Oryzias latipes: one gene and its partner. The protein of the gene in region 1 purifies or fractionates together with the protein of each later gene. This does not show direct contact. Links are inferred from orthologs where the notes say so. Each region holds a gene or a part of one and is shown in the gene's direction. Other genes may lie near its edges.

Region 1 (4,518 bases):
AGTTCTAGAATGTGCGTTTAGCCGACGGTGTTCGCACTGGACGCCGTCCATACGTCACGACCAAATAAGAGTCCCTGGTTGGCCAAAGTTGGACCCACTTTAACTTGCAACATGCGTTCAAGTTTAGCATGTCCAGCACAAAAATGGTCGTAAAGACTTGCGTAGCTACACAGAAACCCGAAACGTGCATCGACACACATTTACGTAGAGTTTTTATCGGAAGTGGCCTCTTGAATGCAAATTGCCGAGGGAGGTGTGGCGAGTGTAAAAAAGAAAAAGAAAAGGCTAAACGTGATTTCTTGAACACGCGTTTAGTCCACAATGTTCACAATGGACTAGCGAGAAGGGGCTTCTGTTGACTAGCGCCTTACCACCACCTACAGTTGAAAGAGGCTTAGCGCGAAATGACGAATTGGTCATTTAGCCCATGGTTGTAGAAATTTGCGCATCTCTATGTAAATGGGAACGTTTTAAACTTGGAAGTCCGAAATACGTGTTTATACACTTTTATTTTTTTGGATGTGGTTACTTGAATGCAAGTTCTTAAACGTGCGTCTAGCCCACGGTTTTCACAATGGACAAGCAGGGAGGGATTCTTCCTCTACTTTTTTTTGTTCACTGTTTACTAGCGCATGTGCGCCATCTACAGTTGGTAGTGGGTTAGTGCAAAATGTTGAAGTGGTGCGAATCTTGGGAATTCTTTTTTGTTTTTTTTCTAGCACAGCTCTATTCCGGTATGAAAGACTTTTCAACATGTTAATTCTTCCATGAATCAAAAGGGACGCCGTTTGTTCATCACAACCAGATCCGAGGGCCCCGATTGGTCAAAGTTTGACCCGCTTTAAGACACATTCAATGAACATTTCGTTAGTCGAGCCCAAAAATGGCCATAAAAACTTGCCTATTTATGTTTTGAACTTGGAGGCCTGTCACATGCATTTACACCTGTTTACATAGACTTTTTATTGGAAGTGGTCATATGAACGTAGACTGGTAGCTCAGAAGAATTCTACGGAGCTCCTAAAGGGACATTAAAGAAGAAAAGCATTAAGGTAAAAATAAAAAAGGTGGCAAAAAAAGCTAACTGGTTTTCTTTGATTTTTGTTCTTTTTTGTTACTTTGTTTTTTTCCCTAGTCATTAACAACAAAATTAAAATATTTAAACAAAATAAAGTAAATTTTTATGTTTTATAAATCTGTGTTTACATCGAGATAATCTCTTTTATTTGCATCATAAAGAAAAAATGAAAAATAGACCCCCCAAAATTATTATTTTTTTCCCAAACTTTTTTCTTAGTTTGGTAATAAAACCAATTAAAAAAAAAAAGAAATTGCACATTTCCAATGAAAATGAATCAGTAAAAGTCATCATGGGATTTAGATTAAATGTAATTTAAAAACGGACACAGCACTGAGAAAACTCACAAACCATGCTTCTGTTTGAAACAACATTATAATATTATTATTTATCAATTATTTACATATTTTAATGCCGTTTCTGATGTTTTAAAGCGTTTTACTAACCTTTATTTTAAAGAAAAAATATACTCATCCGCTTTCAGTCAATCACGAGTTTTCTTCCAGCCAATCAGAGACCGGAGATTCAGCCCATGCCGGAAGTAGTCATCTCGTGTGTCGCAAAAGTCGCGGGAAGATTCCGGGGGGCTACTGTTTGGTGTTTTCTGGAGCCGCGTGAGTGTAAACAACTTTTGTTTACTAAATGCAACTTTTTGTGCTCAACTTCTCAACATTTCGTGATCACGTGGGGGTGTTTTTTTCTTCAACGTGATGTTTCTTTTAGGTTCATCTCCAGCAGGATCACCGAATAGCCGAACTTCCGTTTTAAATGTGGTTACATTAAAATAATGTTTTCCCACGACGTATTTCTTACGTCTAGAAACGGAATGCGCTGTTTATATTTGATAAATAAAACTTTATTTACAATTCGGCTGACATTATAACCTCAGCAAATTCACTTAAAGGCTTCATTTTGACGGTTTAACATGTTCAAAGCCCAATCATTGGAATCAAATCAAACTTTATTTATAAAGCCCTTTTCATACAACAGCAACGCAACATGTTTTACAGTATCTACCCGGCACTAGGAACATCGGACTTCCTGTTTACATTTCTTTAAATATAGAAATTCCTTTTTTTGGGCGGGGTTTATATGTCTACAAACACAAAAGACTTCATTCTTGATACATAAAACTTTATTTACAATTCGGCTTCCAATGTGACGTCAGGTGGGATACTTAAAGGGATCATTTTAACGTTTTAACTTGTTTACTTCAAAGTCTGATCATTTGATTTAAATCAAACTTTATTAACAAAGCACTTTTTTCTCGTCAGGCCATCATGAGTAAGAGGAAAGGGAAAATCTCCCATCAGCCCCTGGGAGAATGCATCACACAGGCTTGTATCCCTTCCTTAAACCTTGAGTTTGCGTGGTAGTGACTTGGAACTTAATGAATTTGTTTGTGTTTTTATGAATTTCTAGGTTCAACGGATCTTGAGGGAGCGATACTGCCAGCAAAAACTAGCCAAAGGACTCGATGGAGTTGGAGCTCAACACAAGTGGGTTTTTATTTTTATTTTAGCTATGTGTCTGATTAAAGCAAAGACGACCCGCAGCTCTGTGACCCAGTTCAGGCTGACGGCGCCGACCTAGTTTGGTGCCCCACCCCCCATCGTTTGTCAAAGCTCACTTGAAGCTCCGCCCATACAGGCACCTGGAGGAGCTGCTGAGGCGCACCGCTGTCTACGGGGAGAGCAACTCGGTGCTGATCGTCGGGCCGAGGGGAGCGGGGAAAAGCTCGGTGAGGAGGCGGCGAGGGAGGGGTGCTGAGGGTGGGCAGTGCTGGTTGTCTGACGGCGTCTGCGTTTGCGCAGCTGCTGAGGAGCGTTCTGCAGGAGCTGCTGGAGGAGAAGGAGGTGCAGGAAAACCTTCTGCAGGTCCACCTTAACGGTAATTGCGACTTTGTGTCCTCCAAATCTGCCTGCTCCTCTAGTAATTTAGTAATTTTCTTTGTTTTTGTTTTTTGTTCCAGGCCTCCTACAGACCGACGACAGAATTGCACTTAAAGAAATAACCAGGCAGCTCCACCTGGAGAACGTCGTTGGAGAGAAAGTTTTCGTATGTTTTTCTTTTTAGTTTGGCGGCCATTTTTGCCTTAAATCGGATCCAAAAATGTTTTCTTTTTTTTTCCCCGTTTCAGGGAAGCTTCGCTGAGAATTTGGCTTTCCTGCTGGAAGCTCTGAAGAAAGGTTGGACGGGTTAAATTTAAGTGGATGACGGTGAAATCCGGTCCTCTCCAGCACTCTGGTTGTGTTTGTGGTTCCGTCAGGTGATCGCACCAGCAGCCGCCCCGTGTTGTTCGTCCTGGACGAGTTCGACCTGTTCGCCCACCACAAGAACCAAACGCTGCTCTACAACCTGTTTGACGTGTCGCAGTCCACCCAGGCGCCCGTCGCCGTGGTGGGACTCACCTGCAGGCTGGTGGGTCTCTTTTTTTTTACTTTTTCGTCAGGGAAGAGTAGCACCCCTTTGACGTCTTCCTGTCTTCTCAGGATGTCCTGGAGCTGCTAGAGAAGCGGGTGAAGTCCAGGTTTTCTCACCGACAGATCCACCTGCTGAGCGGCTTGACGTTCAGTCAGTACCTGGACCGAGTCCGGGCCCAGCTCAGCCTCTCCGATGATTTCTGCGACAGCAGGTTCGCTCAGGAGTGGAACGCCAGTGTAAAGGTAAACCAAGTGAAATGTTTCACTAGGTGATCAAGAATCTAACAATGTGTCATTTGATATTGTGTAGCAGGCAACAATAGTCGTTGCTATGGAAACTTTTCACACATATTTTAGGATAGAGATATGAAACGTGTCGTACTTGTTTATCAGCCCAAAACATGAAAGAAAGAAAAAATCTATGGTTGCTATGGACTTGATTCCTCTAGGGAGCCTGTGGAAACATGATCTGGTAAAATTCACTGATTTAGTTTGTTTTTTTGTCTTGCTTAATTTTGAGTGAGGATAAGTGTTCAAGACATTTGGCAGAAAAACTTAATTGCACCAAAGACCTCTGGTCGGTGCAACTATTTTTGATCTTTAGTTATGCGATCAATGTAAATCGGCTGATTTTGACTCAGGGGAAAAAGTTGCATATTGGTGCAAACATCATTTGCAAAGCTGCTTTTTCTCCGCATCACAATCCGTTTCCCAATTCCGTTAATTATGTGTTAATTGTGCTATTTTCATGTCACCGGCGACAGCTCCCACGTTAAAGGGTTCATGCTCGTGTCGAGCTGAATGCAACATTGTCTGACAAGCTTAAGTATTGGTTGCTATGGAAAGCATTGATATTTATTTAAGGATAGAGATATGAAACTTGTTTCACCTGGTCATCAGCCAGAGACGTAAAACATTTTCAATGGTTGCTATGGACTTGGTACCTCTGGAGACCTGATTTAGGACGACTAACATTTAGTTTTTCTTCCTTAGAATCTCATCGAGGACAAGTCTGTT
Region 2 (4,405 bases), on another chromosome or scaffold:
AAGCGACATGGTGAGTGTGGTGTCTGATAGCATGTTGATGGTGACGAGTCGCTCCCCCCAAAGCCAGGAGTCATCAAAGTGCGGGTCTATGGCTGAGCCCCTCTGAGGGTTGTAGTCCAGGTTGCACTGCTCCACTGGCTGAAAGCCAGACAGGCATGGCTCTTGCTGCATCCGTAGTACGAGTTCTTTGCTCAAACTAGGGAGTCCACTGAAGCCACCCACACGCACTTTTCTTTTTTTAAAGTTCACCTTTGGACCAAAATCCTGCAACCAAAATGAGAAAAATGGTTAAATTATAAATCAATGTACTTAATTTCAATGTAAATCTCTCATCATGTCTTTTCAGAAGAAAAAATGTAAACCTTTTTAATCTGACTGGGAGAGCATTACCTGTTTCCTTCGACCAGACTGGGATGGGTTCCAGGCATCCTGGTCCATTGAGTTAATCAGCTGCTTCTCTTCCTCTTCAGATATAAAGTCGTCCCATAGGAAGATACCAGGAAACGAGAAGGATGCACTCCCTGCATCTTTGCAGACAGCAAGCTTTGTCTCAGGATTGTAGATGAAATGATGCGCCGCCTAAAAAAAAGACAACAGTAAACAAATGTCTATTTATATAAATTATTACTTCACTTTTAGCCTCTTTGTAGGAAACTGAGGCAGTTTCATTCACATACTTCAGATAATGTGCTCTTTCTTTTAGCAAATATGTTAGAAAATTACATTTTGCTTTTAAACAAAAATATTAAAAATGTGGTGTTTTTTTTAGATCGCCCAAAGTGAAGTGTATTGTTCTATGTGCTGTTATGTTTAAAGTTATTCTGTTTTAGGTTTGTGGATTATTAACAAGAAACACTCAACAACAAAAAATAAAGTCTTAAAAAAAAAACAACAACTTAAGTTAATGTGAGAAACTAGTCAGGTTATTCTACACTCTTCTTCGTATAAGTTCGTAAGAAATCGTGAATAACTGTTTTAGCTTTTTGTTGTTTAGTCACACAAGTGGGAAAAATATTGGTATGAATCGGAACGACTGACAAAAGCAAACAAATTGTAACTTAAAAATTTCATGGTAAATAAAGTATTCACCTAGCATATTGATGCTTTGAGATCATGTATTTTGTCCAGCGAGGACCTCCGTACATTTGAAAGAAGCGCAAACAGGTAAATGCAGGGGGTTCAAATACAATTAATTGTTAGTTTTAGTTAAATACAGATACCTTTGGATCTTTTGTCCCCTCTTTTTCTTTGCGATTTTCGCACAAAAGACACAGCCGGATCCCTTTACATCCGCATTGAGAAACACCGTCGCTGCCGTCCGGAGCCATCATTCTGAGCCAACCGGAACTAACGTCTTGTGGGTTAAAGGTATATGCTTGTATGGTTGAAAGGTAGAGGCGCAGGATATAATTATAAAATAGTTAGATTTAGAAACCTTATCTGTAAACATTTAATTTTTTAGCAGCACACAAAATAAGTACATTCATATTTCACTAACTTTATTATCATTATCCACAATCAAATTCACTTTGAAGCTATTTTGCCTATGAGTCAAAGCTCAGGGTATATAAAACAGCACACACCGGATATAAACATTTTCCCCCGGAAGTAGACATTTTCCCCGCGAAATTTTTAGTGTCGCGTTTGTGTTCGTGTATCCTTGGTTGGTGAGTTTTTTTTATGTCCAAATTTTACGAGCTTGTAATTGCAAATTAATGAACTGAGTATATTCGTAGATTCAACAATGTTTTAATCGATCTTTCGTTAGATTTACTTCAAATATTTTAAAACCCAGAAAATGCGTCCAAACAACAACGTCAACTTGACCGTCAACGTGGCTAAAATATCTTTTGTAACTAAGATTACGTACATTATTTAGTATCACATAAGTTTAGCTAAAAATACAATCCTTAATGTAACGTTTTGCACAGTCACTTTTCCTTGTTATAATTAAATAATGCATCGAAATTTCCAAAAGTTCTAAACTCAAAGCTATTCATGATGATTGTGAAGTATATCTTAATAAAATAATGCTTTTTAGTACTTTTATTGTTGTTGTTTTTTTGTCTTACTTTGTTCTTATCTTAAACCATTGTAAATCCTGCCTTCATTGTAGCGCTTTGAGATTTTACCCAAAATATAAAGCGCATTCTAAATAAAATTTATTATTATTATAAAAAAAATGTGCCTAATTCCCTTTTGCTCGTTTTGTTCTTGTTTTGTGCTTACCGCTTTAATGTATGTTTGTCAATTTATGAATAAAGGTGGGAAAAAATGATTTGCTAAAATAGTTTTGCTCAATTTACTTATAAAACGTCTTTAACCTTTTGTTTTGTTAGTTTAAAACATGTTTGAGTGGCAACACATCATCTCTTTTTGGCTGTGGTGTTCAAATAAGCTTTGTGTTCACTTTAATTTAGTTAATTTTATAGATTATCACCCAACCAAACCTCTGAGGGACCCATCATTTGGCAGAAAATGTAAATAAAGTAGTAAGACAACATTCACCTAGATTTACAAACCTAACATTTAATTTGTTGAATCAAAGCAGAACAAAGAAGCACATTACACCCCACTGCAAGTGATTGCAGAGGTAGTATAAGGACGTTATTTAGTCAATATGACACATCACAGAAGATGCAGCTATAACATAAGTTTACCTTCTAAGTGTTTTCTTACTGTTGGGCAGGATCAGGTCATGTCTATTTTGAGAAACTTAGTTTCTCGGTCTTTATATGTTTCAATTCTGTTGTTTTAACTGGTTGTGCAGATTAAACTAAAGTGTATTGTCATTCATTCAGTCAATCCTTTCCTGAATTGTATCTGCAGTCGAACAATGGAGAAGATAACAGAGAAACTTTTACTGGAGAAAGGAACCCCAAAAACCAACAAACTGGAGCAAGTCAAGACACTAAAGTAGGAACACGTGCAGCTCTTGTACAACTACACTGTTGTAGTTGTGTTTTTGTTTTGCTTGGTAGTAAACTACTGATAGTTACTTGGACATGCAGCAAAGAATGTATTTAAAACTCTTTAGGAATAAAACCATTCTGTGTAGAGCAGGGGTGTCCAAATCCAGGCTAGTTTTCAAGAAACCCTGCCTCATCTGCTGTCGATTACCTGATTCGTGTACCGGTATGTTCAGCCAATAAGGAACGTCAATGGCAGGATGGTTGGAAAACACCGGGACACCGGCCTTCGAGGCCTGGATTTGGGCACCCCTGGTGTAGAGCCATCATAATTACAATAGAATTGTTTTTAATTGCAGGATTTAAAAAAAAAAAAAAAACCGAGGACAGCATTGTATTTAACATTGTATGGTGTAAGGAACTGACTTTGCTCTGTTCTTTAGTCTGTCTAAGCTGGGTCTTCAGCTTCAGGACCTGCCTGTTAAGCTCCTGTCCCGTCTGCAGTCTCTGGAGAGGCTGGACCTGTCTGGAAACAGACTGCAGAAGTTCCCCAAGAACCTGAAGCTTCCTGTGCTTTTCTTCCTGGACCTCAGCGACAACCAGATGGAAGATGTCACCACCTTGGAGTCTCTGAGCACTTTGGAAGAGCTTAAGATGGATGACAACCTCTACATCACAGTGAGTGCTGTTCCCCCTCTGCTGTTTTACAGAGAAGGTTTCACACAGAACAACAAATGGCAGTAATGTCACACAGGCACATAAATTATATTAAAAAAAGGATTTAAAGCAATTAACAAAGTAAAGGTATTTAATTCCACTCTTTTTGTTTTATAGACATGAAGTTGAATGTTATCTATGTTGCAGGTGAGTGATAATTATAAGCTGATGGTGTTGCTGCCTAACTTGAGGATTTTCAATGGCAAAGACGTCAGCACAACCGCCAATCATTTACGATTCGTCTACAGCGACAACCTGAGGACCAGGGTAAGAAACTGCCTTTTTTGAAAGACTTAACTTCAGTTAAAATTTGTGTTTTTGGTGTTTTTAAACTCGATCTTGTGTCATTTTTTTTGTTATGACGGAGTACATATGTTAAGAAAATGAAGTTCAAAATAGAATTTCTGAGTATTTCTTTATTTAAATTGTTGTGAATCAGGAGCAGACAAAAAAAATGCCATTTAGAAAACGTCATATTTGTTTTGTAGAGGCTAGAGTTGGCAGGCTGCCTGCTCTGCTCCATTCTGATTCATCAACTTGCAGTCAAATAGATCCATGTACATCTTTATTTTCCTGTCTGAGCTGGAATCTGGATCAAAGCTGTACGGCTGGATAGCTCCAATATCGTGCGCCATTTTTTGTTGCACCGTTAACGTCAGGTTGGGGGTGTGAGGGGCTGTGAGCTAGACGGAGAGCATGTTAACAGAGAGCTCTCACCAATGGGAAGGCGCGGAGTCACTCCGTGCTAACAGTCCCACCCACAACTCAGAGAATGAGCA

Evidence for each region.
Region 2: the proteins of orc4 (region 1) and lrwd1 purify together in Homo sapiens (affinity purification with mass spectrometry; 3 studies listed by BioGRID and IntAct, with this or other methods). This does not show direct contact. The link is inferred for Oryzias latipes from reciprocal best matches to the Homo sapiens genes ORC4 and LRWD1.

What each region holds. Positions count from the first base shown.
Region 1 is NC_019860.2:3,473,520-3,478,037, reverse strand, and holds the start of orc4 (origin recognition complex subunit 4), read left to right. Parts: upstream 1-1,564; 5' UTR 1,565-1,692; exon of another isoform or gene 1,693-1,698; intron 1,699-1,782; exon of another isoform or gene 1,783-1,801; intron 1,802-2,352; 5' UTR 2,353-2,358; coding exon 2,359-2,415; intron 2,416-2,500; coding exon 2,501-2,577; intron 2,578-2,728; coding exon 2,729-2,819; intron 2,820-2,892; coding exon 2,893-2,968; intron 2,969-3,050; coding exon 3,051-3,136; intron 3,137-3,218; coding exon 3,219-3,267; intron 3,268-3,347; coding exon 3,348-3,499; intron 3,500-3,570; coding exon 3,571-3,744; intron 3,745-4,494; coding exon 4,495-4,518. UniProt on the Homo sapiens protein: Component of the origin recognition complex (ORC) that binds origins of replication. DNA-binding is ATP-dependent. The specific DNA sequences that define origins of replication have not been identified yet.
Region 2 is NC_019872.2:25,209,703-25,214,107, forward strand, and holds the start of lrwd1 (leucine-rich repeat and WD repeat-containing protein 1), read left to right. Parts: upstream 1-1,331; 5' UTR 1,332-1,368; intron 1,369-1,588; exon of another isoform or gene 1,589-1,667; intron 1,668-2,829; 5' UTR 2,830-2,836; coding exon 2,837-2,916; intron 2,917-3,352; coding exon 3,353-3,587; intron 3,588-3,773; coding exon 3,774-3,893; intron 3,894-4,405. Other genes in the region: alkbh4 (alpha-ketoglutarate-dependent dioxygenase alkB homolog 4), read right to left, coding at 1-264, 391-579, 1,221-1,331. UniProt on the Homo sapiens protein: Required for G1/S transition. Recruits and stabilizes the origin recognition complex (ORC) onto chromatin during G1 to establish pre-replication complex (preRC) and to heterochromatic sites in post-replicated cells.